Drosophila melanogaster: one gene and its partners. The gene in region 1 interacts genetically with each later gene. Each region holds a gene or a part of one and is shown in the gene's direction. Other genes may lie near its edges.

Region 1 (7,535 bases):
GCCGCGTGTCTGGCAGTCAACTAGTCACTCACTTCGGCCACAGAGACTGCGTCGGTCCGTCAGTCAAATACTCGCTTTAATTTCGACCTCCTCGCGATTAGCGAAAGCACCAGGAGAAATATGTTTGGCGATTAAAACGTATGTTCCAAGTAACTAATATTTATAGTTATCATTTTTTATTAACAATTTTTATTTGGCACAATTTTTACGACATGACTTTTATCCTCATTCATCTATTCAATCTAAGTGCAGATTTCCGTTGAAAGGGAAATAATTGCTTTTAAAACAAAAAAGTTATTTAAATGCTGAGCTAATAAAATATTCAGGTTTATTTCGCGGTGTATTGCTGCATGAGTTGCTGGAGCTGCATGACTACCGGGCATAATTCCTGCACCACCGAACGAAATATGGTACCGAAATGAACACATTGCCAGGTTGGCGGTTCTGCGCACGCGCACAGTTGTTGGCCAGGCTTAAAGGCCCCTTCGTTGATGCCCTGAAAGCACTCTCGTTCCTACCCTGCTCCATCCCCATCACCATTCGCATCCTCCGCTCCATCTGCGGCTCGCTTTGGCCTGGCGACACTCGTAACCGCAGGGCGACGGCGCAGCCCGTTTTCGATTAACGATGACCGTGGTTGAGGACCAAGACGAGGACGCGGATGGAGGCAACTTGAGCGTGTGCCAGCCGAGCGAAATTTTATCTGGATGCCCAGCCGATCAGTTGAGAAGCTAGAGCTAGGCTACACTGAAAAAAAGTGATTTCAAATTATTTTTAAAGGTGAAACCATTTCAGAAAACATTTTTGTTGTGCTGCAAGCTGCATGCGAAGTTGTATGGTATTTTCAAAAGTGTTATTGAACAATTATTTTTTAATTTTTATGGAGATCTTAAAATGGTTTGGGATGTGTAAGTCCGAGTTGAGCACTGAGTCCGTGGCAACGCCTTCGGTTTACATTTTACAATCCTAACAAGGTTAGGCCGCCCGATAAACGGAGCTGCACTCGTTTGGTTATAAGGCTAGGTTGTGATCTGGGCTTTTCAGCTGAAGTTGCAGTTGAAGATGCAGTTGAAGTTGCAGCCGAAGTTGGAGGCTGGGGATCGGAACTTGGAACAGGCAGCTTGCAGCTGGAGGTGGCACATGCCTAACCGGCAACCAAGCTGCTATGCAAACACACACACACACACACACTTATACGGAGCGGAATGGTGGCCATGGCTACGAACTGTACATACGGAATTGCACATTAAAAATGAGCAATGGGAGTGGGCGGAATACGGAGGAATGGGAAGTGGGTTCCGAGGGTTTCGTGGCAAGCGGGCGGCTGATTCCAGCCGAGCGATGTCTTTTTCTGTGGCAGAACAAGGTTGGAATGGCCTGCGTCGCCGCTACCACCGTCTCTGCACCGGTAGAAAAATCATACTGACATAATAATAAACTAATAAAAATAATTAAAACACTGTGAAGGCCAATTGATTTTGCTTGCTCATTTGGGTACACACAATGGCCACTTAAGTTAAACAGTTTTAAAGCCCCTGGGTAATTGTCGATGGTTCTAAATTTATGCTAAGCTTTTGTATTTAAAGGGCTCAGTCTTAAATAATCTAAAACATTAAACTATTAAGGGTTGGATAGATTTTTCAGCTGACACAAGGCGATAAAAGTTTACATTTTTATGCTGTTCTCTTACCGAATTAAATACGAATTCACTATTTTCTTGCAGTGCTCCGCCGACTCTGCTTAATGCAATTCAGGCGAAAGGCGCACAAAGGGACAGCGAACAAGATGCCGAGTTGCTGATTGTGCGGGCAGCGCAGTCGACGCGGGCAGAGGTGTCCGCAAAAGCTTTTGTCGCCGCCACAAACATGGAATATGACAAGCTGGTGAGGAGTAGGATGGGATTCGGATTGGGATGGAATGGGATCGAGCTGAATGGGCTGAGAGCAGCAAGAGGAGGAGGAACGGGAAGATACTGCTGGATGGTGCCTGGCATGCAAAGCATTGTCAAGTGGGGAGCAGGCCAAGTGCTACACAAAAACCGAGCGACAAAGAAACGTCGCAGAACGCTGCCGACGCACGTGAGATGTGGATGCATTTGATGCACGGAGCGAGAAAGGGATGTAGAAATTAGTAGTTTGAAATTATTGTAAAAGAATTCTTCTGTTTGTATTTTTTAGTTAAATTAATTACTTATCCATAAATACACTGTCTAACTATTTCTAAGCCACTTAAAGGTATAATATAATCTGAAAAGACCTCTCTATTTGAAATAAAATTTCAATGGTAAATAGAGGAGCGGCTCTTGAATGTTTAAATAAAGTTTAATGCTTGCACTTTTTGTTCCAAGTGCATGATTTAAGAGTGTGTAGGCTTCCCTGTGTGGGCAGGGTAGGGAAGCCAGGCGAAAGAGCGATGGAGAGAGCGAGAGACAATGGCGACAATAAAAATGCGATCGCACAACATGCTCCACAGATAAGTTAACGCAAAGTGACAACGTACAACTTTTAATGGAATTGTCGTCGCCGACGGTGGGCGGTGGGGCGTGGCAGGGTAGTCAGGAGGGGAGTGGGGGTATATATGACATAGCCAAGAAGTCACCGCATTTGGAGCGCTGCCAAGTCAGTTGAACTATGTTTACTTTAAGGATACGGCCGCCACCTGGAAAAGGGACCTTCAAAGGCTGCCTTACACGATTCCGAATCCCCGATTCCGATCAGAAGTGGGCTGAGTGGGGGTCGACACACGAGCACATGAAAATTGCCTTCGGCAGCTACTGTGGCACAAGCTAAAGAGAGAGGATGAGAGCGAGCGCGATCGAAGAGAGAGCGCCAGCTGCTCCCATTGGAGCAGCTAACGTTTCCAATTGGACCAGCTCAAAGGGAATTCTCTCTCTCTCTTTCTCTCTCGCTACTCTCACCGCTTACTGGTCTTTCTGGTTTTTGTTTTGTTTACGATTTTCGCTGGAAGAAGAGAAGAGTAGATCGCGCTACCACAATCAGTTGCTTTTCAAGCTTGCCACAAGCAAGACGTCAGTGCGCGCGTGCTGCGATATCGAAATCGAAATAAACTTAAAAGATATCGTAATTTCAGAAATCGAGCAGAATTCATACGATCCAGGAAAAGAACCAGCTAATATTGGAATATAAAACCTACCCAGTGATCAAATCGGCGGTGCTTCAATGTGCGCGTAGTGGTCCGTAACCGTATGATGAGCCTGACTGTGCTCTCGCCACCGCAACGTTTTAAGCGAATCCTGCAAGCCATGATGTTAGCCGTCGCCGTCGTCTATATGACCCTACTGCTCTACCAGAGCGCCTACGGATATCCGGGCATCCAAGTGAGTTGCGAGTTCGAGTGGGCGACATAATCCAGCTTGCGTGGGTGTTGTTAGCGCTGCGAAACTGTCAAACGTGTGTGCTCCGCACTGATCTGCATAAGTTGCAAAGCTGCAAAGGCCAGGCAATTTGCATTATCCCCCTTTGATTCCGATCCCGATCGACGTCGACTCGTGCACTTTCATAAATCAACGCCGGCGACTTGAGTTTTGCAGCTGCGGCTTTGGCCGTTAAAAAAACCTTTTACGCCCTTGCCTTGCATATAAAACAGTTTCGGTGCTTGGCTTTTTGCGCTTTTATACCCTAATAGGGGGTATCATAATTGAACACAAATTTCGGCGAGGAAGCGTTTTAAAAGGATATACCCTACGATTGGTGATTGGATGGGGATCGGTATCACGGGGAATTCATTTGGAACTAAGGACTTGATTGCTTTAGAAATTGTGCAGAAGTTTATGTAGAGGTAGTGCCTAGCTTAGTGGTTTGTTTCAAAAATGGAAATATGATCCTGAATTTATTTGTTTTTTTTTTTTACAATTAAGCTTATATTTGATTGATTTAAGGACAAGAGAATGTAATTCTGTTAAAGTTGATGTTCAAAGATCGGCTCGCATTATCGAGACATTATTAAAATCCTAAAATCATACCATTAGGCACTTGGAATATATTTTTGAAAATCACCAATACTTTCCAATTCCCACAAGAGTATTCCCAGTTTCGATTACCGAAGATCCAGTCAACCGTTCCTGAATTTCTTGGTTTGCCGTCGGCAGAGCGTCGCCAAAGCTTTCAGTTGCCTGATTCCAGGGCCTGTCAGGGTTCTGAGCCCTGTCTGCTCTGCCCATTTATTATTGTTCTCTTCTTACTCTTGATTTTTGCATAAATTTTTGTGTAATAAAATATTGTGTGCTAATATTACCAAGGTGTGCGCTGCGAGGGGGGATCTCATGGAGGTGAATCTCAATGGACTCGTCCAGTGGAAAACCTTGTCAGTTGCATCACAGATAACAAATAGTTGAGGTCCGTGGGAATGGCCTTAGTTAGCCTCCTATTGCATTGCAAACACTTTTTGGCAGGGTTTTATGCGAACAGGCTATTTTTAGAACCCTTGAAATTCGAACTATGTGTCCACCTTCTAGGATTATCATATTTTAAAAACTTTAAATGAAACGACGCCATAAGAAAATAGTGCACATATTTTTAATCAGTTGCATATACAGATTCCTCAAAGTTTTCTTCCAACATTTCTTTATATAGTTCGATTTTTGTTAAATGAACCCTACTGCTGTAGTTATACCTTCAACTGTTACAGCTCCCTAACTAAGGCTTACAAATTTCATAATATTAGTGATTCGAGCCGCTGGCAATAGAGTTAAGAGCTCATAATTGAATCAGCTGCAGCATCCTCAAAAATATCCATGTAATCCCCTTGCCCTTCACCACCTTCCGGCTTCTCAATTTGCAACTCAATTGCCCAACTTCGAGGCTTCGAGGCGAGTTTGTGGAGGCTCCCCTGTAATGTTTTCGCATGCTGCTGCTAGTGTAATTAAAAACTTTATGTTGTTTTAATTCGGACAATGCTGTTGACGTTGTGGCTCTTCCAGTTGCTCTACTCTTTTTTTTATTTTTGTGTTCTGGGGCTAACCGGAAACTTGGCAGGAATTAGTGCTACACACACATCGCACTACTAAATACTGAGCCGGATAAAAAACTGTCGACAACTGCTGTACTGTTGTTTGTCTTTTCAATTGAAGTTCTGTTCCATCGGAGGTCTGTGACTTGTCCCAGTTTAAAAACTGCATGCCGCGTACAATTTGCTTAATTCTTTTCGTACTTCGTATATGAGTGTTCTCTTTTTGTTCCTAAATGTTGCGCAAAAAGTGCTGCTTGTTGACTTGACATGACTTGGCTTGGCTCGATTCTTCGAACTGTTGAACAGCTAAACAGTCGACTGGACACATACTCGCGCTAAACTGGGCTTGGCATTCGCCTGATAAAGCAATAATTTCGAAATCGGGCGGGGGCGGGGCGGGGGTATTGTCATGGGGGTCTCCATCAGCCCCACAACCCTGCCTATCCAAGATTCCCAGTATCTGATGTCTCATGTCCAGTTGCAGCTCACGTCGCCAGGTCGCCAGGTTGGCATGTCGCGTGTTGCTGACGCATAAATCATAAATGAAACGAAATGAATAATAATCGTCAAACGATTTGCTTGTTTATGAATTTCTTTAAAGTGGCGCGCCAAATGGCCACCAGTCGCTGATTGATTTGAGTAGTTTGTTGTGGCTACACTGTGATCAGCTTACCGATGACACATCGATATGGATAGTAGATTACTTACGTGCATTTATGAACGTGCACAATATAGATTTTTTCTGTAATGACATCTAATTCTTCTTCTAAGATATCCGAATTTATTTTCCAGTATGGACTTTCAAATATTTTTGACGAGTGCATGGTAAATACATAATAACATTAACAAACTCCTAAGCTGAGGAGCATGCAAATCAGCTTGAGGAAAGCAACAGCCACAAGAAGCCTTCGAGGCAGCCCGAGAGACAAAGACCACGATGATGATGATGATGATGATGTGATTCCTGTTTTTGGCCAGGCCAAAAGCAGGTGCTTGCTCTTCACTTCCCATGGCCAACTTAATGCAGCTGGTTGCAGCTACCTTTCCGTGGCCCCTCGATCCACAAAGCCCTCCTTCTGCCCGCCGCTCACGTAATCAGCCCGAAAAAGTTGACGACATTAAGCCGCGGAAGGCGCCTGATAAAAGGAGTAGTATCTGCAGCTGGGCAACCGAGTAAAAGATACCCATATCTGGGTATCTGGGTATCTTTTGGTGGTCGCTTAATTGAGCCTGGATGCTCGGATGCCTGGCTGCTGAGCTGCTGCTGTTGTTGTTGTTGTTGTTGTTGTGTGTATCTTATCTTAGATTCGTATCTTACGGATAATATTGTTAAACAGCATTTAATGAAGATTTTCCCGCTCGCCCAGCTGGAGGCGAACGAACGGTTCTGATTGCATTTTTTCGGGAATGCCTTTGATTTGTTCGATTTCGCTGATTTATGCTTTCCGTTATGGCGACCAGAGTTTAACTCAATTAATCTTCCCAAAGGTCGCCTGAGAGGGGTAGATTCCATTTGGCGCCCTTTCATATTATTCACTCGCACCTCTTCGCTCGATTCTTATGGTTTGCTCGTTATTAATTGACATGGAAATGTTTATAAACATATTAATCACGCGGCTAATGAAGCATTAGTCATTCGAGTGGGCGTAGTGGGGGGCAGCTGTTGCTATTGTGCGGACCGTGTTAAATTTGTTTTGGGATTTTATATCTATTGAATCACCTTTCACCCGGCACTTGTATGTTGTAGGCTGTACATTTGAAGAAAAAATTTGAGTTCTATTAGAAAATACGAAATAAGAATAATGGTGCAAGGGTAGTTTACCAAAAATGTATTCCATATAAAGTGCTTGCTTACATATTAGCCAATTAGCTTTTTTGATGTGTGTGGTTAAAGTGTATTCTTTTCTAAAAGTTTTTACTTCAATTTGGCTTATTGTAGTTGTCAAAATCCGCAGGCGGCCTGCATATATGGGCACACGTGTTTATGTATCTCCAGCTGAATCTGAATCAGAATCCGCAACTGTGAATATGTATCTGTATCGGTGCTTGTTCAGTTTCATCACGTTCGAGTAATTCGCAAATCCCACAAAAGTGTCACAAGGCATTGCTGTTTTCATAGTCCGTAGTCCGTGTACTTGATTTGCATACTTGTACGGTTAAGCCACTTGCATCATGTCGGGGATTGGAAAACTGGCGCACATTCTAATCCGATCCAAACCTTGAATTTACGGAACCCGCTTAATTGAAAGAGGCGTTCTCTGCGTTATATAACCAAGTGGCTTTCACTGTCTTGTCTTTAAGCCGAATCCCTCACTCAAGTCACGACTTTTTTGCTATCTTTCTTGAACAAATCTCCAGTGCGATTTCCCATACTCGCGATTTCTGCGCAGCCAAATTAATATTTCAGCAAATTTAATTGCTTCGGGTTTTGAGTTTCGGTTTCCCATCGGCGTCGAAGGCAGTTTACACCTGCCACCGTTATCGTCTCACTCCCGATTTCCTCATTAGGGAGCTGCCATTATATTGAACACCGTTTGGCTGTCGATCGTGCGGCAATAAAATTCTAT
Region 2 (7,746 bases), on another chromosome or scaffold:
AAAATATATTTTTTGATTTATTTTTATACCCGTTAGGTAGTAGTGGTAGTAGTCGGGTAGTGGGAGGGCGAACGGATGGGCAGACGGGCATGACCAGTTCGACATATTGATCGAATGATCTCTACCTGTTACATTTGACGAATGTTGTATACGAATAACGGGTATTAAAGAAATTCATCAAATAAACGTTGTTATACCCGTTAAAAGTAGAGTAAAAGGGTATACCAGATTCGTTGAAAGGTAGAAGGAAGCATGTGAGACCATATAAAGTGTATATATTCTTGATCGCGATCAATAGCCGAGTCGATCTGACCCAATATCGATCTCAGGAACTGTGAGAGCTAGAATGTTGCGATTAAGCATGCGCCTTGCATATATATAGACGCTCCGGAAGTTTGTTCCAAATGTTGCAACGCCTTCTCTAACGCCCACAAGCCACCCAAAACTGCCACGCCCACACTTTTGCAATATGTTTTAATATATTCATATCTTTATTAGTGTTGTAAATTTCTTTCATTTTGTCAATAAACTTCTTGTCACGCCCACACACCGCCCAAAACTGCTACACCCCCGCTTTAAAATATGTTTTGATAATTTCAGACTTCATTACTTATCTTGCTAACTTCTATCGGTAGCCCAAAGAGTTTTTTGAAATTATTAATAATTAATAAATAATTAATTTAATCTGCTTTTATCTGTTTTATTATCCAATAGTCGAGGCACTTGAAATATCATTATCTGTAAGTTGTATCATATACATGTCTTGACTCTAGTTATGCCCGTTATTTTACAGGAAAGGGGTATATTGTGTTTATTGAAAAGTATGTAACAGGTAGAAGGGAGCTTTAATTCACAAATATCTGTCGGTATCCCAGCTAAATTATGAAATTCCCCGTTCGCATTCTCACTAGCCGACTAGAGCATTCTCTCTTGTTTATCCTTGAAACTAAGAATTGGCTTAGAAGAAAAGGTATTTGTAAAGCATATAACGGGTAGAATGATACTTAGCAACTTAGCAAGTTTATATATCATGATCACTTTCAAAATCCGAGATCATTTAACACGTCCATCTGTCCCTACTTCTTTCTGTCTGCCCCATATGGAGGCAGAGAGCTTAGTTTCTCTGCGGCCTCGAAAATTCTATTAGCAAAACCCCAGCGATGCAACAATTAAAAATTTTTTTAATTTGTAAGCTAAAATATTTGTCAGCTTGGGTCAATGCGCTCTGTCATTAGTCAGAAAAAACAATATACCCAAGAAATGAGGATTATATTTGTAGGTACATACATTTTATTTGTAAAATATTCTATTATTTTACTGTGTTTGAGAAAATTGAAATATCGCCCATGACGTCGTAGGATACCCAATTTTGAAATTTTAAATATGAGTTATTAAGGGAATATTCAGTTTTAAAACATCTGTGAAGTACGGATTGACAATTTTTGACAAAAAAAAAAATTCTTAATTGGCTAGGTTGCCTCTGGTAGCTATCCGTCATGGTGTTTTTTTTTTTTTATTACTAAGCTGTATTTTGGAGTGCCATTCTTGACTCTTTCGAAAGGATAATTTATAATATTATTTTTATTCAAGTAAGTATTATAATTTTTTTTTATAGTCGAGTTCGTCGTCTATTAGATATCCCTTACTTAGCCAAATTAACTTCGAGGGAGACAGGTTCCTGCCCCCTTCTTTTACACTTACCACTTATTATATTTATGGTATCTAAAAACTTCAAAAGTATCGGAGTGACTCGAACTACATATTTTTAGTATTTCGTTAGATGTTGACTAAAGAAAACTTAACTGCCACGAATTCAGTATACCCTTATTACGTATTGTAGAGTAGAATTCTAACAGAGGGATGAGATGGTTATATTTTCTAATAATCACATAACATGATTAACGTTTATTATACATAAATCTACAATTATTAAAGATCAAATCGGTTTATACACCAATGTTTTACCAATGATTACTGTTACCGTTATTTTGTCCTTATGTGCCCATCTCTTATAATGTATTAGTATATTTTACGCACTTTTGTAAGATGGGCCTGTTTACAATAAAAAAAGATGTAAAATTTAAAAGAATCTATAAACAAATTATTATGAGGCACTGTACCAATTATAATGGTCTGAAAATACTGCATGTATTCGCATTTACTCTTGTCAATATTAAAATCATGAGAATTCAGCTGTGTATATTCGTAAGGAATAAGGACCCAAAATCTGTGCCGACGTCCACAACCAATCCACCCAATCAGTTCCGACTTAACCGGGGTTCTTTGAAAGCCCTCTTAAGTCAACAAGCAACAATAGCAACAACGAGGTGAAACATTTTGCCCAAAAATAAAGTTAAATGCGAAGGCTAAGTCGCACAAACATTTCAAATACGTAATACATGTTTTAAAACTTTCTGCGAAGAGTTCAAAAAGCAGCGGCGAACTTATGTATGTAACAGCAGAAGTATATTAACAATTACACTTAAAAAAATTTCTTTTTCAACGATTGAATCAACGTAAGCTGGTTGAAATTCTGAAAATGCATTGCAGTTAATGGCAAATATTTTACATTATTAAAATGTAACCGTAACCTCAACCAAAACTTGCCAAATATATGTAAGTTACAACCGGCAAAACACTCAAAATGTCAAACATTTGTGGAATCATAGTGAATGCATACCACAAAAGCTGAATATTTATAGCTGTAACTGCAATAAAAGTATTTAACGTTAAATCTGCTCCCTAAGCCATTTGGAGATTTGTGTGCACTTTGTTTCAAGCTTGTGCGGAATTAAAGGAGAAGTGACAGCAAGGTTCTATGATGACAGTTCTTATTGGAAGCAGGCGACAACTTGGGCGTAGTGCTGGTAGCGTTTGAACTGGTTGAGAATTATAAATACACCTGTCAAACGAACCTATATTCTTTCAACATTTATAGCGTCAGCATACGAAAACACAATAAATAGCTCTCAGTAAGTTAGTTACAACTTTTCTGCATGATGTTTTCAGCATGAAGACGGCATATATAGACACCATGCATCTTTTCATTACACAACTAAAGAATCAGCAGAGTCAACCGAAGACCCGCTGGTGTGAGAGTTCGTTCCCCTGTGCGTCCTCAGACCACTGTTCGTCCTCTGCGAGTTGGAATTCCTGTCACGGACTCCGCTCGCAGCTTCCAGTTCGAGTCTGGAGTCCATCCTCATTCATGTGGCGTCTGGCGCACAGCTTATACTCCTCCTGACTGCTGCTACCGCTGCCTTATTCACGTTTTGCAGCCGGCCAACTGTCCGGTGGGCGGTGCGTGGGGAGGCGATTTCGGCTGGTGCGAGAGCGCGGATAGAACACCACGCCCTCTTCGTCTACTGGCTGTGCTCTAGAGCGGGAACGAGCTACTGACGCTATCAGCTGAGAGCGCCGCCATTTGCCACTACGTGAGAGCTGCGGAATGAGCGTGTGTGCAAGCAGGATGGCAGCTCATGCGCGACATCGCACTCACTCACACTGGCGCGCGCACATCACGCACGCAAACACACGGCGAACGGGGCGGTGGAGTTTTTTGGCTTCTGGCGCTGCGCTCGCACAGCGTCCAAACATTCCCAGTTTTTCAGCTGCGACGGCTGGTTGTCCTCACGATTTTGAGTAGATCAGCTGCAGACCAAAGTCGGTAGTCGAGTTTCGAATTTGAGTCGGTTTTTGTTTTTGGAAGCGGTGCGCGTATTCGATTTTTGTTTTGACTTGAGCTCGGCTGTAGTTTCGGTTTGCCAGAACTGGATCGAAGGAGAATCGACACAGAAACAGGGAGTTGGCGAAACGGATACAAAACTGAAGTTGGATCGGTAATCGCCTGCCCGGTCATAAACAACAACACAAGGGAGCACAGCCGCATACGCATACGCGCCTCTGTCTCTAATGCCTTATCAGTAACAGGCATCGTCGAGTGTCGTAGGAAGAGCCCGACAAAGGCCGACCTTTACCACTCAATTTGGATCTGATGTGCCATTCTCGCGCTGTCTCGTAAATTAATGTCATAAATTAACTTTAGATTTCTTACGCTAACCGGTGGTCGTCAGCGGTCCGAAAACGCCTTTGCGCTCGAGATACAGGGGCGGTTTCTAATCAATACAAATATCCTACCTGCCGCCGAGTCAAGTGTTTTAGTGAGTGTGTGACCCTATGTTCCTTATATTACCTTGGTGCTAAGGAGAAAGTTTAAAAAAAGCGGCATTCAAATCGTAGTTTGTGCAATAAGAAAAGGCAAGCCAATGGTGTCAATCTCTAAGACAACGCCGAAGTGATGCATGTCCGCAAAGTAATAGATCAAGTTGTGCGCACACTTATTACCGGCGAGCCTAGCCGGGCATCTAATCGTGGCCAGTGTCAAGTGTCCAATAGCACATCTAGCCGGGGTGTAGAGGATTACCCAAGACCAACGTAGCACCGCAGCCCTTTTAAGGAGGCATAAGGCTCGCAAGACACAACGCACAGCCTACACAACGACAAACATAACACGACCGACGGACATCATCCTTGGAAATAGACCTCGTGTCATTCCAAAAGACGCACATGGGCGTCTGCACCGAGGAGCGCCCTGTGATGCATTGGGTAAGTTCTGCCGCCGTAGCACATAAAATCCAAAGTTACCAGCGATAAGACTAAAAAATAAGTCATCCACCAGTCCGTCCCAGCTCACCCAAACTCTGCCCTTTGTGATTAATATTGATCCGAGCCTGGGTTACTCGGAGTTATCAATACCAGACTGAAAGCTTGCCTATCAACAGACAGCCCCACTCAATATCGATAAGAAAGCCGCTTGGGCATTTCAGATTAAAAACAGTTCCCAGAAGTGTTCAATCAGTGGCTAGTTCGCTCGTTGAAACATTGCTGTAGAACGCGGTTACAAAATTTCAATGTGATTCCCTGCCTTAATTTTTATTCATCTAACTTAGGTTAGAATCATTTAATGTTTAAGAAGGCAGATTTTTGATGATAGTCGTACTAATCAATATACAATCAAATTGGGCGGCATAGTCGTGCAAAAAAATTAATAGATATGTAGAAATCAAAATACAGGTAAAACAAATATGTACGTTTTTACGAAATTTTTGTATATATCTGATATTCGACGCGAACGTATTCAGTTTTAGAGAATAATCACCGTGTGCCAATATATACCAATTTGATATATTTTAATAGTAGTCAATTGACCTTCAAATACTAATTTTTAACGCGAATAAGGCATTTTCTACCACACAGAGATATTCTTGTACCATTTTTTTGAAAAGAACGAATTGCCTTGATGAGTTACATGAACATCTTTTACCTATTTTTGATTTTGTCATTTTTAATTGCTATTCCTATTTTGAAACATAACGCATTCCTTATACTTTATGCAAACAATTTTTTGTTACTTTACAACTTTGGTGTTTGAAATCTGTGTGTTTGTTTTAATTCCCATCTTTTGTATGTTTTCCAAATGTCATCGATTACTGTAAATCGAGATGTACGAGTATTCGAATTCTAGTCTATATATACCACATCTATATATTGTACAAGAATTGTATAAGATTGTATTGTATAAGAATAGGAAAATCGTAAATAAATTGGAAGAGTAAAATGGTATGAAACATTCGTTGAAAAGTATGTAACAGACAGATGGAAGGGTTACCGACCCTTATAAGGGATATCCTTGATTAAGGTCAATAGCCGAGTTGATCTGGCCATGTCCGCCTGTCCGTTCTTTTATTCGTCCAACCGTCCGTCCTTTTAAACGTTTTAGGAATTGTAAAAGCTGAAACCTAGTCTTGAACATTCATATTGTACTGCCGTTTTAAAGTATTTCCAAGTCCACTAAAACAAACTCCCATATCTCAAAATTCTTTCTTCCTAAAGTATTCGAAAATGTGTTGATGATGTGTTTACCTGATAAATTCGGCACATCGATCAAGTTACGAAATTGATTAAATTCGGACTATTAAAAATTTTATAAAAGTAATTTTAGAGTTTTTTTTTTCAAATTTTTATTTTTGTACATTTCTTTTTATATATAAAAGTCGAGTTCCCCAACTATCAGATACCCGTTACTCAGCTAGTGGGAATGAAAACGCAACATTTCATCATTTTGCTGGAATATCGTTAGATATCGGTGAATAAAATGAACAAAAATTTAAATTTAAACCGCCAAGAAATACGCTTTTGAAATATGTTTTGATATTTTTCATGTTTTATAAGTCTTTAAATTTTTACCGATTTGCCAAAAAACTCTTTGACATGCACAAACAGCCCAAAGCGGCCACGCCCATCTTGATGAAAATGTTTTGGTATATTTCCGTTTTATGTATGTATTGTAATACCAAGAAAATTTTTAACACACCCTTTCTAACTTATCATTCGTCTTAATTTTTTTTCCAATTTCTTTCGATATGCAAAAAAATTGAAATTTATTTTTCGCAGTCTGCCTAGCTGAGTAACCGATATCCAATAGCGAGAAATAGACAACGAATTCAAATACATTTTTTTGTAGCTGTCATTTGCCCGTAATCAAAATATCGGAAACATCAATAAGTCCTATTGTTAAGTTTGTTACAAAACTCAATTTTAATTCAATTCAATTTTTTCTACAAAAACTCAATTTTAATGTGAATAAATACAAGGGGAAATTTGCTTGATATTGTGCGCTTGGCAAATTAACACAATAAAAATATTTTTAGTGCACTAAGTATCATATACATACATATGTTTGCGATTCTTATATTCTTTAAAATAGTAGAAACTTTTTCGATCTTTAATGTATTTTACAATAATGTTAGGCATTAACGGTGCTTATTATATTATTATACGTTATTATAACGTATTATTATTATTATACGTACACATCCGATATACTCTGTTTGATGACTGTGGATCGACAATGTTAGGAACTTCAAATTAGGAACTTACAAATGTATCATTTGATATAGCTAGAAAAACACAGACATTTTTTTGAAGTAAGTGCTTTCTGTCTACAGAGTGGCCAAATAAGCTTAAAAGTTGTTTGAATATTTGTAGTGGTATATTAGTTGTTTAGCTCGGTATCTGTAATATTGTACTTTTTGCCACTTATCTGCAATTTGGTTCACTATGCAGAGCAACCTTCATCAGGTGAATAATATGTTACAACTCATTGTCTAAACGTTTTATAATAGATTGGCACAGAAAACATACATCTATTGTATGTTTTGGTTTCGATGGAACCGTTTTAAAATAACTAACAATAAAAACAGCCATAACGTGTTCCTAAAAGCCTCAATTCTTTGTTCAGATCGTCAAGTTGTGCAGGGCACATAGCTTTCCGGAAATGCCATTATTTCTGTCCTTTTGACAATTACTTGCGATTATTACGAATACTACGAATAAAACATGAAACAAGTGTTAGTCGTAAAAATTACTTTCGTTACCTTACATTTTATTACTTTCACTATTCTCAACTTTGATATAATCCCTATTAAAACAATGTAAATACATTAACTAAAACAGTGATTAATTATATTTAAAGTCAAACTTTAATTGAATAGATTTGAGATATGATCAAAACATTTTATGTACCCCTTCTTGTTGAGTATGGGACGTCACTATATATATATATATATATATATATATTAATTAAAATCAGTAGACAAGCTTATATCGGTAGGTATACCTACCGATATAAGGTTTTCTACTGATTTTAATTTCCCTAACAACATCAGCTTGCATGACTCAGCTTTA
Region 3 (7,742 bases), on another chromosome or scaffold:
TCAAGAACTTTCTCTGTGACCCGCGTGTACTTAAAAGCCGCATCACAGTCTGAGTTCTTGCTGAGTGCGAAATCCTCGAAGCAACATTAAGCGAAATCATGGGTCGATTCCAAAAAAGAACCTATATTTATTTTAAATTTTTCAATTTGTTTAATTTGTTTAATTTTTACAACCTTTCGGCCAACGAGAATCAGTTCAAAATTGCCAATTTGATTTTATTTTCATTTGCGTTTAATCGAATTCCTAACTCAAATGGAAAAAGAGCCAAAAAAAAGCAGGGCAAAATAAATTGAAGTGAAAGTGATATTATAGGCACTTCAACTCCTAAATATATATGTATATGTAAATAAATTTACAAAAAGTAAACCACCCAACCGACAACCCTATATATAACATTTATCATTGTGTTTCATTCACAACTTTTACTTTCACACTGTGCTAACAACGAAACGGTAACCATATACTAATAATATTAAATAATTGTGCATAAATGTATATATGTATATATATCGACATAAAACCCGCCGCCTCGTCAGCAATCGTCCTCGTGTCAAATTCATTTTGGAACTGAATTCTCGTGGGTCTGCACTGACAACACTGACCGCTCCAGGGCAAATTGTTCATTTTGAAATTGAAATTCTGTAGCACCATGAGATTCAGCTCTGGCGTGAATTTCAAACATGCATCCACAACATCTCTCGCTCTATCAGCTCTCAGCTCTCTCTCTCTCTCTCTCCTATTTTATGGTTGTCCAGATGAAATCGTCAAATAACCCAATGTAAAATCATATGCAGCCAGCCCAGCCCCGAACTGCAGAACATTTAGTAATGCCGGAATATTCAGTAATGTGTTGCATTCTTATTTACAGACTTCAGCAACGATATCGCCTTTGTGTCCATCAATCCGCCGGACGACAATGACTATCCGTATGCGCTGAACGCGAACGAGGGCATCGATCGGCTGTTTGACTTCGGTTCGGATGCCTATGGACCCTAAGAGGAGACGTCCACGAACACAATCACAACCACACACACACACACACACACATGTCTACAAAATTGGGATTCTGGGGGTGTTTATAATTTTAAATTATATACAAATGGCAAAAGAAAAAAAAAGATACAAAGCCAGCCAGCAAATTATTAAATTATTTGATTGCAAATACTAGAAGCCACAAAAAATCCAAAAACAAAACACAAAAAAAAGCGAATCAGCAAAACTTAATGAAACTAAGTTGTGTGTACAATTTTAAGCGTAAAAATATATACATTTAAATTTATAACCCAAACTAATTTAAGCGAAACAAAACGAAAACACAAAATCTACTTTACAAAAACTCAGCCTCACGAGAGAAATAGGGAGAAGTCGTAGCAAGAAGAGCCACATTTTATAAGCAAATTTTAATTTTAGCCTTTAAAAGAAAGCAAAAAGAATCAGGAATACTATTTAAACGATTGGATAACACACAAAAAATGCGAATACTTCCCTCTTATCAAACAACTTTTTGGGCTAGAACTGTCTGTAAATTAGTAAAAATAATACCAACACACACACACACACACACACTTATATAATTTTAAATTATAAAACAAAATAGTTGTAAAGCCAATCAACATTAAACAATAAAAAGAAAATCAATTTCAAATTGTAAAATATATCGAAGACATTTCAAATTAATATGGAGCAGTAGTAGAAGAGGAAGAGAACACTCCTGGGCCCCCAACAAGATGGCTTTGGTTCCTGTTTTAGTGACGCATGCAACAGAATCCTCTTCTCTTCATTTGCTTGGATTTATCGATTGATTTTTAATTATAATATTATTAAAGCTATAACTATGTATCATAATTTGTTATTGTTATAAAATTTAAACTGTAAACACACACATGGGCCCAATAGCAGTTTATTCATAGAAGCCAAATCATCCCACAAAACAAACAACCAACCACTTAACAGAGTCAACTACAAGTACATAAATAATTATTTAAACTCTCTCCTAGTAGTTATATATTTAACTAAACGATAGATAAAAGCAACAAACAAATGCAAATCATACAATTGTAAAAAAAAATCAATAAATAAACGAAGGAGAACCGCAACAAGCCGAAACCACTGTATAATTGTACGTTTAATTTTTATAAGAGAAAACACACTTGTTAGGTACTTTTCTTTCTTTCCAAAAACAAACACATGAAAAAAAGAGAAAATAAATATTACAAAAACGAAGGAAACTTTAAAATAAACAAAATAAATTTTTAAAACCGAATGTCTACTGTTTCAATTAAACTGAATATTTAAGTTTTTCAAGCCGAATTTAAATAAGGTGAAGTTTGCCATGGTCACAAGAAGTGTTTTTTGCTAACTTCTTTTTTAACTAAGCAATTTTGAATCATCATTTGAATGTTTTTGGTAAATATTATTTTTTATATTAATTATTTTTAATAAAGTATAAAGACTGTACTGTTTTATGCATCTTTTCAAAGATTTTTTTAAACACCAAGTTGAATTTTAAATATGTGATCCATTCCTTGGATTTTGATCATTTTACCCATGAGTAGTTAGCAGACTTGTCTGCATGTTTTAAAACGCCCGCCAACTGGGAAAGCAGTGCATTTTAATGCGCCCGCCAACTCGGAAAGCAGTAAAACGTAGCACTGCTTGCAATTTACGATATTCAAGTATGGCGCACTATCTTTAAACTTGAAACTTGCGTTTCTAAAAGCCAAACCCCAAAAAGCAGATCCTAGCGAAATATTTAAAATTGGTTTAAATTGGTTTTACAGCAGCTCCTAGTATTTGTAGTTAGTTAGTATTTATCACCTAGGCGGGGAGTTCAAGGAAATGATTATGCTTGATTGCATGGAAAGTAGATGCTCTTGGACAATGATTACATAAAAATATTTCCTATGTCATTAAGAAATCGACACAATAATAGCGCCATTATTTTATTATATTTTCTAAATTTTTCGAAAAAAAAGTGATCCAGAATGTAATATTTGCTAATGACATTATGCTCATATAAAAGTTTTTACAAATGGAATATCCGTTTTTAGTGCGCGAGGATTCAGTATTGGGCTTCATGGCGTGTTGGTAAACGAAGAGCTCTGCTATAGGTGGCGCGCTAGTGTAACAGCCGGCACTAACAGAGTTCTGTAAGCGGTCAAAAGACAGAGTTCGAAAACGACCGAACAGAGTTGGAAAACGCGCTAAACCGAAAATCGCGTATACAACAAGGGTAACGGCTGGCAGTGTTTCACGCGATTTCGAAACGTTGAGATCGTTGCCGCGGTCGCCGTGAATTGGAATTGTGAGTGTGTTCGTCGTGCGGAAAATCATCGCTGTCAAATAGAGGCCACAGTGAATTGCCGATACCTAATACTGTGCAAGGCGAAATTATGTGCCCCAGCATTTCGTGAATGAAAAGTGCGAAAATACAAAATACAGAGCAATAGTGCGAGGTCGGTGGAGTTCGAATTAAAGAAATTCCACGAAATACAAGTGCGGGCGATTCTCGTGTGCTGGCGAGAGTGCGGCTTGTCCGGGTGTGTGAGTAAAATTCACGGTAAATAAATAAATAAAATTTGTGTACACACACATACACACACACACGCGCGCTCTCCTATTATTTATATATACACAGCATGTTGTGAAGTTGCGGCGCAAAAAGAAAGCACGCGAATAAAACATAAGAAAATTTAATTACGCCTGCGTCTGGGAAAGTGCGTCGTTCTATTTTGAAATCGATACCAAAATAAAATACAAATAGAAATAAAAATCAAAAATTAGGTGACACAACAACAACTAGATCAACAATGCACGACAACAAAACCGTTGCAAAGGGGTATGTAACAAAAACAACAAATAATAATAAAATGAATAATAGTAGTGAGAACGTAACTAGGAAAATACTCGTGAAATTACTACGCAGCAGCAATTTATGCCAAGTTGTTTTTGCTCTCCTCCTCCTCCTCTCTCCGCCCGGTTCCTCTTGTTCCTTTTGTTGTTGTTCCATATCTATCATATCTTGGGCTGTTGTTGTTCTTCTTCTTCGCACACCGCTTTACGTCTCCGTTTTGTGAATGAGCGGCGCAGCCAACATTGTTCTCTTTTTCTCTCTCTCTCTGTCTCTCTGTCGTGCGGAGAGCGGCTGCGCGAAGAGAGGCGGAAAAGAAATGAAAGAATTTCGATTGCTGCCGGTTTTTGTTTTATTATTGTTGTTGTTGTTGTGCTGGTTTATTTTTTATTGTTGCACGCATTTTGAAAAGTGGTACAGATAAGTTTTCCATTGCATTAAATTAAGCCAGCACTAAAAGAGTAACTAACATTATTATTAAAAATAGTATTTCATGAAATTACTTAGTACTATTGCTAAAGACTGTCTCCTTATTGTCCTTGGTAAGTTTTAAAATTAATCATACAAGCGTCAATAAGAGCTATTCAATAGAATTTTATTAAATATTTATAGAATTAGTATAAATTATTAAAAAAAACAAAACAATAAACTTCAAAGAAGTGTCTTAGTCGACTTCCATTAAACACCCATACATTTTTCCTTAAAAGGCGCTTTAATATGTATGTTGCTCTCACCCCCTCTTCAGGACCACCTGCAAAACTCAATTTTTTATTTAATATTTCAAAAATAAAATTGAACTCACCTGTTGACTTGTCATGATTTTCAAACCTTTATAATTCTAAAGTTATACTTTGGAAAATGTGTTGTTTTTTAATGTATGGTGGACACCACACTTTCAGCGGTTGTCAAAAAGTCATGACAGTGCTGTTTTTTATTTTATTTTGGAGCTCGTAATTAGAGTGACCAAAATGCTGAGTAAACCAGCCAAATATATCCAGTACAATTTTAAAGCTCTCACTTGCTAAAACAAATCCCAAAAAGTTGATCAAACTATTTGCTCAAACTGTGACCTTATAAATCGGGTTTCTTTTTATCTTTAAGGTATATGTATAAGATATCCATTAAATTTAGTTTAATGGAGACTTTGTAAAAACGTTTGGAGCTTCTACAATGTTTTCATTTTATAAACATTAATTATTTAATGCCAACTTAAGCAGGTTGAGACTTTAATGACTTAAGTTGACATTAAAAGTGGGATATCCCTTTAAAAGAACGAGATAAAGATACACCCACGATTTACGGGCTTTTGATTTTGTGTTGTATCCGCAACGGAAGCAGATCAATAGATCGGGGGTCTGTGGGTGTACTGAAATAGTGATAAATGGGAAGATATTTCCCAAATAACTGGCGTGGAGATATTACGGGTAAGTGGTTTTGTGGGCGGGAAGGTGGAAAATGGGGAAATGTGGGGATGGGTCCGCTTGCTAATTAAAAAGCATAAGCACTAATTGGCGTGCCGCTGCGCTTGTTGTTGCTATTTGCGTTGCCGTTGAACTGCCCACTTGCTGTGCTCTTATTATATTCGCGTTATTATTGTATAATAAGAGAGAAATGCCATAAAAAATTGGGAGGTTGGGTTAAAACAACAGGCAAAACCGAAGTAGAAAAAAAAAACACCAGAGAATTGCGCATTTTTGTATTAATCATGCTATATTTTTGACGAGGCCCGAAGAATGTTGGCCAATGTATTTGTATTTGTGCGTAATTTATTTATTTTTAAATCGAGTTTGCCTGCCTGCTCTCTGTGCATTTGTGTGTGTGTGTGTGTGTGTGCGAGCATAAGTGCGAGTGTGTGTGCGTGCTGCGACAAAAATAAGTCGCCGCAATAACAAATTGCTGAAATAGAACCAAAATAAAGCAGAAGAACAGAAGAGATCTATAGAGGATGAGGCAATGACGGAACCCGGGCCAAGTTTGTTGTTGTTGCGCCTGCTTTTGTTTCTCTGTATTTTTATTATTTTATTTTTGTGCATGTTATTTCTGATATTGGCTTTTTAATGGTGTGGCTAAAAACCGGAAATTGTTTGTCCGGCTATTGTTGATGACGTATGACCATCGAGTTGTTGGCGGCTTTGGCGCATAATTTGGCCACACTAATTAACAGTGCCGAAACGAACAACAAAAACACACATGCCGCCACCAACACGAATGCCTTTTAAAGCGAGAAAAAACAAAAAAAATGCTCTGACCACATGTCTAAACGTAGCTGCGCGCAGGCCAGAAAGAGAGGGCACGATTGCCGAAAGAGAGTGGCCGGTGATAAGCCTGTATGTGTGTGTGTGTGAGCCGAGCGAGACAAACAGACAGGTGTCATTGACCTTTTTCGCTGCGAAACAGCACACACACACACACATTCACACAGCCAAACAATTTTGTGTGCACTTTTTTCAGCTGCGTTTGCTTCTTTTCCCTCTCCACCCTCTGCCCCTTTCGCACTCTTGCCCTGCTGCCGCTGCTGCTTTTTCTCCTTTGTTGTTGCTGCTGCCTTCACTGCTTATGCTGTGAACTGCTTGGCCTTGAACTTAGACGCGCGTCTTCTAATCGCTCCACACTCCCTCCGCTGCCACGCCCACACATGCATGCACGCACTGCGATGTTGTTGTTTTTGTATTTATTAATGGGACCAGGAATGGAGACGATTCGACATAATTAGTATGATAATTGAACGAAATATGTGTTTCAATTCATTCGTTTTATACCTTCCATAGAATTAATTTTCAATTGGTTTTAAAACAAAATTATAGTTTTCTGGTGCAATAGTATTAAATTTTTCTACTAATTTATTTAAGCGACTAGTTCTCAAATACAAGTTACAAATATGTATGCATGTACATGACCGATCACCAAGGTGATTGGGATCTCTCCTTCTTTATTGTTATTATTGCACTGAACAAGCTGTGCGTTTTGGATCATGCCCAAATTGGTATTAATTACGCAAGCCGTGTAGCTGCCATTTGTTTTGCCATTGCGAAATGCAACGTATTTGCAGTGAGTCAACTTGTTTTCGCTGTACCAGCCGCACTTAATTGTGTTTTTATTTGCATTCAACTCGCGGAAAATCGAATGAATCGGAATTGATTGTTCCAAGAAGCGATGCGAGGGCAGCCACAGTGATTCACATGGGGACTCGCATCTCTTAACCGCTCAACCCGCCATCCATACGTCCATCCAACTAGCCATCCATCCATCCGCGGCGCAGACATAGCCACCCACCACCCATCACCCATCATTATAAGCAGCTGCTCCCGAATCTTATCATGGGAAGAGGGTCTAAGGTCCAAGCAAATAATACCCAGCCGCAACAGCCATGGCAATAACAATAGTGCTGGCGACAGCGGGAACAAAAGTAACGCATGGAGCCAGCCCCTCCACGCGCACACTTGGAGCCAACAACACATGACATGGTCGACGTTCGTCAGCCGGTCGTATGACGAGAGTCTCCCCCGATTTCACCTTCCCTTCGGAAGTCTGCAGTCGCCTACGCATGAACCTCGAACATACTTACAAGTGCGGCCATGATAATAGAGATCTGACACATAAATAGTTCTTAATAGTTGGAACTGGAAAGGAAATCGTCGGACAGCTTGGTAATTGTGGAAAATTGTGTGCAAATATTAAATATTGTCTTTGATTTCATTACTACTTGACTTTTTTGTTTTTGTTTCGTTTTTAAAAACTTTCGCTGATCCTTAAGCCAATGAGTCACTGCAGAATTTTAGTATTTTTTCCGCAGCTGTGCACACCCATTTATTTCTCAGTGTGTACAATTATGGTTTTCACTATGTGATTTAAAGAACAGCAATAAGAAATGTATTATAGGAAAACTTAAGTA
Region 4 (9,703 bases), on another chromosome or scaffold:
GTCAACATCACTTTACCCAACACTGAGGAGCGTGTGAACCTCTTAAAATCGCGCATCAACAGGCTGGGTGACATTACGGTGGCCGGCGATGTTTGCGCACGCGAAATTGCAATGAAAACCAAAAATTTCACGGAGGACGAGCTGTGCCAACTGGTCCGAGAAGCCCTCCATGAAGCCATTGTCCGCACTCACGTCACCAGATGCCCGAAGGGCCTTCAAGTCACTCAGGTCGATCTCCTGGCCGCGGTAAAGATCATTCAGCCACGATTTGGCCGGCAGGAGGAGACTCTCCAGCTGCTCATGCCATATGAATATCTAGATCGTACCGCTTTCGATCCGAATGATCTCCTGTCCACCGGACGCCCAAGATGGTCTTGCCATCTGGTCGAAGGTAAGCCCAAGTCAGGCCTAACTACGGTGGCCGCTCAAATGGCTTTGAAAACAGACTGCCCTTTTATAAAATACATCTCGTCGGCCGAATTGCTGGGACTTAGCGATTCCGAAAAATGCCAGAGAATACGGGAAGTCTTGGAGGACGCCTATGTTTCCAGGCGCAGCTGCGTCATCATTGACGACTTTGAGCGTGTCATTGGTTACGGCGCCCTGGGTAAGCGGTACTCCAAGGAGTTCCTGCAGAAGCTGACGGTTCTTCTGAAGAAACAACCGCCCAACAGCCACGAGCTCATCATCATTTGCACAAGCAATCGTCTCGATGTCCTGGAGGAACTGGGCTTGCTATCCGTTTTCACTTCAGTTCACAATGTGCCAAATGTTTCCACGCCTAAAGAACTTATGGTCATAGTGGAAGCTTCAAAACGATTCGAGCCCGAGGAGCTACGCCAAATCGAGATCGCCATGGATGGCCGCAACGTCTCCATTGGCATCAAACGGTTGCTTGACTTGATTGCGTGGGTGAATTCCCTAAATCCCGACCGTCGAGCTGCCAAATTGCTGAAGAAATTGGGCGAAGCAATGGGATGGGTAGGGAACCATTCTAGTCCACTTGTACCTCAATACATTTAAGACGTTAGGTTAGGAAATGCAATATTGTATCTACAATTCCAGGAAAATAATTCCAAGTGATTCCAAATAATTCAGTAATGCTTTATATTTAAAAGAACCACGTAAGCATAAAAAAACCATCTAAAAAAATAATATTGCATTATTTTTTGGATGAACTTGCTTCCATTGCATTGCAATGTTCTTAAGACTAAAATGAACAGCCCGATAATGTGATTGCAAAGATACTAGATTATTATATTATATATATATTATATATACACCAGGCCAGACCTCTCAGTGGCCTTCGCCTGCTGTACGGAGAGCATTCCGTCCTCCAGGAGTTCGGTGACCGGTGGGCCCAACATCTCCTGGGCTGCTCCAAAGGCGGGCTTGATGTCGTTGTCCAATATATATATATATACATAATTATATATATAATATATATTATATATTATATATATATATTATATTGTTCTAGTGTCTTTGGTGATTGGCATAACAAGTTTTATTACCATATTATATATATATAAGTAAAAATAAAGATATTTGAATTGCAAATGCCACCCATTTTATCGTTATTTACTTAGAGGATTTGGCTTTTGATACAACACATTTTTTGGATTGTTTTCTTCACCAATCCTGGTGCTGCAGAGCTGCTTAGCAACAGCGAAGAAGTCTTGAATGCGGGGGATATATGTATTATTAGAAAATGCAAATGCGCGCCAATGAATTCAAATTTGCACTGCAGGTGCCGTAGCAGGCATCTTTTGCTCGCAATCACAGTGCATACACACACGCAATGCCGAACAGGGTTGCACTCCCTCAACGGGCTATCAGCTGTTTGAGACAATTTCGGGATTATATTATAAAATTGCTACGAAAATGTCAATTGAAAAAGCCCACCGGATGAGAGCGATCAAATGCCCAACGGATGAGCTGTCCCTGACGAACAAGGCGATTGTGAATGTGTCCGATTTCACGGAGGAGGTCAAGTGAGTGTTGGTTTTTGTTGTTTTTCCACTTCCTACGTGGGCGTACGAGCCTATGGAAACTTTCGCTTATGCTAATGACGCACCGCTTGATACCCTGCAGATATGTGGACATCTCGCCGGGCCCGGGGCTGCACTACATCTTCGCGCTGGAGAAGATCAGCGGGCCGGAGCTGCCGCTCGGCCACGTCGGATTCTCGCTGGTCCAGCGCAAGTGGGCCACGCTCTCCATCAACCAGGAAATAGACGTGCGGCCGTACCGATTCGATGCCAGCGCCGATATCATCACACTGGTCTCCTTCGAGACGGACTTCCTGCAGAAGAAGACCACCACGCAGGAGCCCTACGACTCCGACGAGATGGCCAAGGAGTTCCTCATGCAGTTCGCCGGAATGCCGCTGACCGTCGGCCAAACGCTCGTCTTTCAGGTAATGGTGTGGATGTGGCTCCCCCATAAATGTATGCAGTATAGAAAAATAGATAGCAAAGGACTGAAACTAAGGTAGTAATCTGGAGAGGATTAGTGATATATGCCAGAGCCAGTTAAAATACTACCCAATTCAATGAGGGTTCTCGGTTTATCTCGGACGCACCTATTCATTATTTCACCATTTATTGTGTGCACTTATAATAATTTTGGTTTTGTATAACTTTACAAAAAGATTTATACGTTCATAGCATAGCGGTAGTGAGAATATTCGTTATTTGTGTTATTCGATATTCGTTATTTTATATTTACTGACGTGTCTTGATTGTCATGAGATGCTGAATCTCATATTCCACATTTAGACGGTGACCTAATGCAAATATTAACAAGGTAGCTTACCTCCAACAATTAGAAACCCAAAGACACGTAACTCTCCCTTAGATCATCTTTTTGGCTCTCTGCCAAATCTTTTTTAATAATTCAGCATACAATGTCCCCCTTTTTTATGAACTAAAAATAGTGTGTTAGGCTGCCCTCATAGGAAATGCAACTATCTTAACATAGTAATTCTTCTAACATGCTCCTTAATGTACATATATCGTTCGTTTGCTAATAAGGATGTTTACCGCCTTTCAGTTCAAAGACAAGAAATTCCTGGGCCTCGCTGTAAAAACGCTGGAGGCAGTGGATCCCCGAACAGTGGGCGATTCCCTACCGAAGACTCGGAACGTACGATTCGGCCGCATCCTCGGTAACACGGTGGTGCAGTTCGAGAAGGCCGAAAACTCTGTGCTAAATCTGCAGGGTCGCTCCAAGGGTAAGATCGTGCGGCAGTCCATCATAAATCCGGACTGGGACTTTGGCAAGATGGGCATTGGTGGCCTAGACAAAGAGTTCAATGCGATTTTCCGACGCGCCTTCGCCTCTCGTGTTTTTCCGCCGGAACTTGTCGAACAACTGGGCATCAAGCACGTTAAGGGTATTCTGTTGTACGGACCACCAGGCACGGGAAAAACCCTGATGGCCCGGCAAATAGGTACCATGCTGAATGCCCGCGAACCCAAGATCGTGAATGGACCGCAGATCCTGGACAAGTACGTGGGTGAATCAGAAGCCAATATCCGGCGACTGTTTGCCGAGGCCGAGGAGGAGGAAAAGCGCTTGGGACCGAACAGTGGACTGCACATCATCATCTTCGACGAGATCGACGCCATTTGCAAGGCTCGCGGATCCGTGGCCGGTAATAGTGGTGTCCACGACACGGTCGTCAATCAACTGCTAGCCAAGATCGACGGCGTGGAGCAGTTGAACAACATCCTGGTAATAGGAATGACCAACCGGCGGGACATGATCGATGAGGCCCTGCTGCGACCTGGACGCTTGGAAGTGCAAATGGAGATCAGCTTGCCCAACGAGCAGGGTCGCGTCCAGATCCTGAATATCCACACCAAGCGGATGCGTGACTTTAACAAGATAGCTAGCGATGTGGACAACAATGAGATCGCGGCCAAGACAAAGAACTTCAGTGGCGCAGAGTTGGAGGGTCTGGTTAGAGCGGCCCAATCCACGGCCATGAATCGGTTAATAAAGGCGGACTCCAAGGTATATGATGCACAGCATGGCGTGAAAGCAAAGAAAGGGGGTTCTCTTAATTCACATTCGGATCGAAATGTTATTTTATTTATTTGGCGTATTCGCTTATTTCATTTATCTCTCGGTTTGCGTTTCGGGTTTCGTTTAATTTCGAGTAATTTGGTTTCGATAAACCAAGAAAGCGATTAACGTTCGACTGTTCCACTATTCTAAAATTACCATCATCATTTGCTTTTCTACGATCCAAGGTTCACGTGGACCCGGAGGCTATGGAAAAACTGCGTGTTACGCGAGCCGACTTTCTGCACGCATTGGACAACGACATCAAGCCCGCCTTTGGAGCAGCCCAGGAGATGCTGGAAAATCTGCTGGCACGCGGAATTATAAACTGGGGCCCACCGGTCACCGAACTCCTGGAGGACGGAATGCTCTCCGTACAGCAGGCGAAGGCCACTGAGAGCTCTGGCCTGGTGTCTGTTCTCATCGAAGGAGCTCCCAACTCCGGCAAATCAGCGCTGGCCGCTAATCTGGCCCAGTTGAGTGATTTCCCATTCGTTAAGGTCTGCTCCCCGGAAGATATGGTAGGATTTACGGAGTCAGCCAAGTGCCTGCACATCCGCAAGATCTTCGACGACGCCTATCGCTCCACATTGAGCTGCATTGTGGTGGACAATGTGGAGCGATTGCTAGACTACGGTCCAATTGGACCCAGGTACTCTAATCTCACGCTGCAGGCGCTATTGGTTCTACTGAAAAAGCAACCGCCAAAGGGTAGAAAACTGCTGATCCTGTGCACTTCCAGCCGGCGGGACGTTCTCGAGGAGATGGAAATGCTCTCGGCTTTCACGTCCGTCCTGCATGTGTCCAATCTCTCAACTCCCGAGAACGTGCTTGCCGTGCTGGATGATTCTGATTTGTTTAGTCCCGAGGAGCTGCAGAGCATTGCCAGGAAAATGGCGGGTAAGCGATTGTGTATCGGCATCAAGAAGCTGCTGGCTCTCATCGATATGATCCGGCAATCGGAGCCTCACCAGCGGGTTATCAAGTTCCTCAGCAAAATGGAGGAGGAGGGCGGTCTGGAAATGGATAGGGTGCAAGGGCACTAGCTACGCCTTTAAATTAATTTACATTCCATTATCAAACAGCAGAGTGGTTCGATTTGATTGATTCAAACTGGAAAAACGGTTATGTGTTTACAATTAAAAATATATATATATGTATTAAAACAAAAAACCGTTACAAAAATACTTATAACCTTTTGGGAAAAAAGTACAACGTAATATAATATAATAATATATTCCCATATTTCAAAATATCTTACTTGCAGAGTGGGTTTCTATAAAATTCTATACTTTCGTGAAACTTTGAAATTAGTTGCCTTCAAGCCTAATACACAGAACCGGTGACCACTTTTATTGTTTATTAGGAAGTGTATAATTTTATAAACTCATATTCTGCAAATCGAAGAAATCGACCCACCCTAGTGCAATTTTATGATTGTGTTTTTTTTCCCGCTATCAAAAGGGAATCACAATGATAGGTTTCAGCTGCAATATAATATTCTAACGCTATACTTCGCTTAAGTTCCACTAAAAAAAAAAAAATATAATAAAGCGTAACTGAAGACCAACTTGTGAGATAAAGTCAAGTAATTTGTAAGTTTTGAATTTGATGATACCAACGAACTTAAAGTACTCGCATTAGCGACTAAGGATAATCCGTCGGTGTCCACCATGAAAATCTCAGTTTGAGTGCACAGACTTACATAGAGAATTTGATACCAACATGATGTATTTTATAAGGATTTTACGGATATTGCATTTACCATGATAAATAAAAAAGACAAAAATCCGATGATGCAGCCCTAATAGATTGATCTTTTAAATCAAAATTGAATTAAGATGCTTAAGCGTTATACCGATACTTAAGAACTATAATTCTGAAAGTTATTTTACAGAGCGCACAGTTTTGAATACGTGTGATTTTTATTTACATGACTTTTTACCAAAAACGAAAACAAATCATTTTTGTTATATTTTTCTTTACATCCATAAGTGAGATCACTTTGGGTTTGAAAACTAGCTAAAGAAGGTGCATGTCTTAGCTACAATTTCTGAATTTCGATCGAAGCTTTTCGAAAAACACGAAATATATGTGAATCATTTGTAAATGGATATGTCTTTTATGGATAAACTTGATGTGTACCAACGGGATAACAAACTAATTTATGTAATTTACCCAATAGCTAAAAATAAATGGAGTTTTCCCAAAGACTATGGTCTTTTTAATAAGAACGGCTGAAACGATCTTTAGTCAAAAATATATATAATGCAAATTGATTGATTGCCTTTTCTTTTCGTTCCAGGACACATTAGTTCCCTTGGTAGTTTCGGAGTGTAGCAGCTTGAATTCTTTGAAAACTCCTATTTATTTAAATATTGTTTTTTCTCGGCGATCGCCGCCCGACAGCTGTCCGCTTGGAAGGCGTCAAGTGGTTATCATACCATGTACTCACCCGATCCGATCCGATCAGTCCGATCCATCGATCAGCTGTTCGCGACAAGATCCGACGCCGGAACCCAATCAGAGCAGTGGTCAGCTTGGCCGAGGTGCTGACCACAGCCAGTCGGTCGGCGTAATATGCAATTTGAATAAATGATTTATAATGAAAACACCTTAGCGGCGCGTCGTCTGCGTATACGTAATGTGGAGCGGAGTGGAGTGCCACACTGCTCGGTAATTGATATATGGCGCTAATTGCGCTCGACGCCCATTTGTGGTCCAGTCCAGCTTTATCAGCGGCAGTCGTCTGAGGAATCCTGGGTAGCCATAGCCATAGCCAACAGTCATGGTAGCACCCAAAGCCATGGCCATGTCGCGACGGTGTCAGCTGCTAGTCAGCGCCACTTATTAACTAATTAAAGCTGCATATTTGCAAAGATCTGAAAATTGATTTGCATTGCCAATTGCCCCTGGAACTGCTCGACACAATCATGATTTTGCCCAAAGGGTAGGGGAAATTCTGGACATCGTGATCGTAAAGATTTTCACACTCCAAATATACATTGTAAATGTAAGGACTATTAGTAAGTCTACGTATAATTGAAACTATATGAAAAGCAACATGATTACTAGGGTATGCCCCTGCATAAGACTTACATTTTAGTCTAATGCCTTATTGGTCATGTGCAATACTTGTGATTTTATAACCCTTAGATGGGTTAAATTGGCATGCCCACAAGGTTTTTAAGCTTTTATAGTTTATAAATGTTCCAAAAGGTGCATTTGATTTGATTTTTTTATTTAAGACATACGATTTATACCAACAAATATTAAAGACGAGCTTTGCATCTTTATTTCTGCGGACTGTGACCGAGTAAGGATCCTGTCCGTAATTAGCACTTGGCAAGTGCGTCCGAATCGCAGGAAAAGTCACCCACCCACCCGGCAATCGATGGGTAATTATAATTCGCGGATTTGGGGCCCGGCCAGCGCGTCAGTGAGCGGTCGCTCACGTATGCAAAACGCTTGGTGACGAAAGTCCAGTCGGACAAAGATCAACGACCGGGCCAAAAAGCAAAGCTGCGCTGCCGGCAGCAGGAGCCAAAATTAAAACCGAAACGGATTTTCATTCACCGCCTGTAAAAATAACGAAACTCTTACAAATTCGTTTTTTTTTTTTGTTATTAATTATTAAAGCCAGCAGCGGCGCACTCTCTGCACTTGTGAAAAGTCAATTCTCCGGCGCACAGTGTATCATAGTGTATTATTTTGCTACATAAGTCTTTATTATTAAATCTTCTTTAGTGTTTTTGTTTTAAATGAATAATGAAACTTAAAGTATCTATAAAAATTCCTAGAAATACACTAAATATTAAGTAAATATTATTAAAAAATACGTGTACGTACGCCTTTAACACCATTTTTATTATTTCTTTTTTTATTCTAAATCACTGTGCGCAGTCGCGCCTCTCGTAAACTTTGAAACCGGCCCGGCTTAGTTGTTTTTGTTGCTGCTTAAAAGCGCAAACGCCGGCAGCGAAGGTTCGATTTCACTTTCGCACGGTGTCCCCTACCCCTCGCTTCTTTCTCCCTCTCGCACCAGCGGACCACCCCCTGACCGGCTACAGCTCCCCCCCCCCACCTCACCCTTCGCCCCACGAGCTGGCGGCCCATCTGGGGTGTCATGTTTTGAGCTCTTTACGAGCGGACGACGCTCTCACCTGCTTTCTTTCGCACAGAGCTTGTGCTTTCGCTCTCGGATCTTCGATCTTCGATCATCAATATGCGCGATCTCCGATCTGCGAACTGCGATCTTCCATCTCGCATCTGCGATATCTCAAGCTATCCAGAGAAGATGATGCGCTTTTCCAGCAGATTCGTACCATCGATTCGTTTGAATCGACATGGTGATCTACAGATATTTTGGCGCCACATGCAAATCCCACGGAAAATTGTCAAAGCACTGAAAAAAACAGGTATGCTGAATAATTTTCAATAACACGCTTGATTGTTTGAGTTTCCACAATGTCAACTTTTGTATTTGTACTTTTTAAAGAAATATAATACCTATGGATACCTGGAATTGCCTTAATTATATGCCCTATTTTTTTTCCAGTGATTGCAAAACTTACAAGCGTGCATATACATATGTACTTTCAGCAGCTCGGGGAAAATGTAAAGCGAATACAAAACAAACATCATGGAAAATCTTCCTGCATTACACAAACGCGGAAGATTTTCCTCGTACTCGCACATTTCATGGTTTTTCCAAAGCTCAACTAGCATTTTCGTGGCATTTCCATTGATGTTTTCGAGCTCTTTTTCCTTCTGCGCTTGTGTGTGTGGTAGTTAGCATGCGAAACTCGCAGATAAATTAGTATTTTTTGGCGCTGCCTAAGCTACAATTTTACACTGCGACTGTTTTGGGTTTTTTCTTGGCTTTGGTTTCGGTTTCGCTCTTCGCCTGGTTTTTTTTTCATTCATTTCATTTTCCCCTTTGCAATTTATAATTGAGTTGCAATTTGGCTGGCAACTATCTGTGGAATGCAGAGGGGCGCGGGGGCGGACTTTTCGCGGAACTTGCATGCGTATTAGTCATCAACTGAGTGGGGAATAAAAAACGCATTGGTCGAAAAATTTGGCAAGAAAATGGGGAATTAACCCACCTAGCAAGCTGCTCTTAAGAATGAGTTGAATATTTCATTACCAATTTGTCAGAATTTACTTTTGTAGCTATCATTTTTTCAATATTTTGATGGCGATTTTATCTGAGTATGTACACAACTATTTAAAGGATTAAATGTATTCGTCTAAGGATGAGCTGTGGCAGATATCACTAGAGAAAATGATATGATGCACAGAAATACCGCCTAGGCACTCGAGGGTTAAACACAAGTATGTATTAATATGCCATTTATAGCCTAAACACAAGACACAACCCCCGATATTACACACAAACTTCGTAAAGGAGAAGAAAAAACGAGGCACGATCAAAAGGAGGTACAAATCAAAACGCAGAATCAGAATCCGGGGCAAAAAGCTCGAAACTCGAAATCTGAAATCTGTGAAAATGTTGCCGCACGCGATCGAGACATTCGCATTTCATTTCATTTCATTTTATTTCAATTCATTTCGATTCATTGATACCGGTGCAGAAAAACATGGGCGAAAAGAGCGGCCCAGTTCCAAA

The links.
Region 2: of fng (region 1) and ap, changing one suppresses a phenotype caused by changing the other (phenotypic suppression), as found in Drosophila melanogaster (6 studies listed by BioGRID).
Region 3: of fng (region 1) and InR, changing one suppresses a phenotype caused by changing the other (phenotypic suppression), as found in Drosophila melanogaster (one study listed by BioGRID).
Region 4: of fng (region 1) and Nsf2, changing one enhances a phenotype caused by changing the other (phenotypic enhancement), as found in Drosophila melanogaster (one study listed by BioGRID).

Annotation. Positions count from the first base shown.
Region 1 is NT_037436.4:20,944,972-20,952,506, reverse strand, and holds the start of fng (fringe), read left to right. Parts: upstream 1-2,994; 5' UTR 2,995-3,205; coding exon 3,206-3,337; intron 3,338-7,535. UniProt on the Drosophila melanogaster protein: Glycosyltransferase involved in the elongation of O-linked ligands to activate Notch signaling. Possesses fucose-specific beta-1,3-N-acetylglucosaminyltransferase activity; extends the O-linked fucose on the Notch EGF repeats.
Region 2 is NT_033778.4:5,722,680-5,730,425, reverse strand, and holds the start of ap (apterous), read left to right. Parts: upstream 1-3,593; 5' UTR 3,594-4,566; coding exon 4,567-4,605; intron 4,606-7,746. UniProt on the Drosophila melanogaster protein: Required for the normal development of the wing and halter imaginal disks.
Region 3 is NT_033777.3:21,614,823-21,622,564, reverse strand, and holds the start of InR (Insulin-like receptor), read left to right. Parts: upstream 1-3,243; 5' UTR 3,244-3,543; exon of another isoform or gene 3,544-3,838; intron 3,839-6,824; exon of another isoform or gene 6,825-7,545; intron 7,546-7,742. Other genes in the region: E2f1 (E2F transcription factor 1), read left to right, coding at 869-996. UniProt on the Drosophila melanogaster protein: Has a ligand-stimulated tyrosine-protein kinase activity. Binds 3 insulin-like peptide ligands.
Region 4 is NT_033777.3:13,830,094-13,839,796, reverse strand, and holds Nsf2 (N-ethylmaleimide-sensitive factor 2), read left to right. Parts: upstream 1-1,805; 5' UTR 1,806-1,884; coding exon 1,885-1,994; intron 1,995-2,094; coding exon 2,095-2,419; intron 2,420-3,054; coding exon 3,055-4,020; intron 4,021-4,259; coding exon 4,260-5,117; 3' UTR 5,118-6,300; downstream 6,301-9,703. Other genes in the region: CG31495 (uncharacterized protein), read left to right, coding at 1-1,023. UniProt on the Drosophila melanogaster protein: Required for vesicle-mediated transport. Catalyzes the fusion of transport vesicles within the Golgi cisternae. Is also required for transport from the endoplasmic reticulum to the Golgi stack.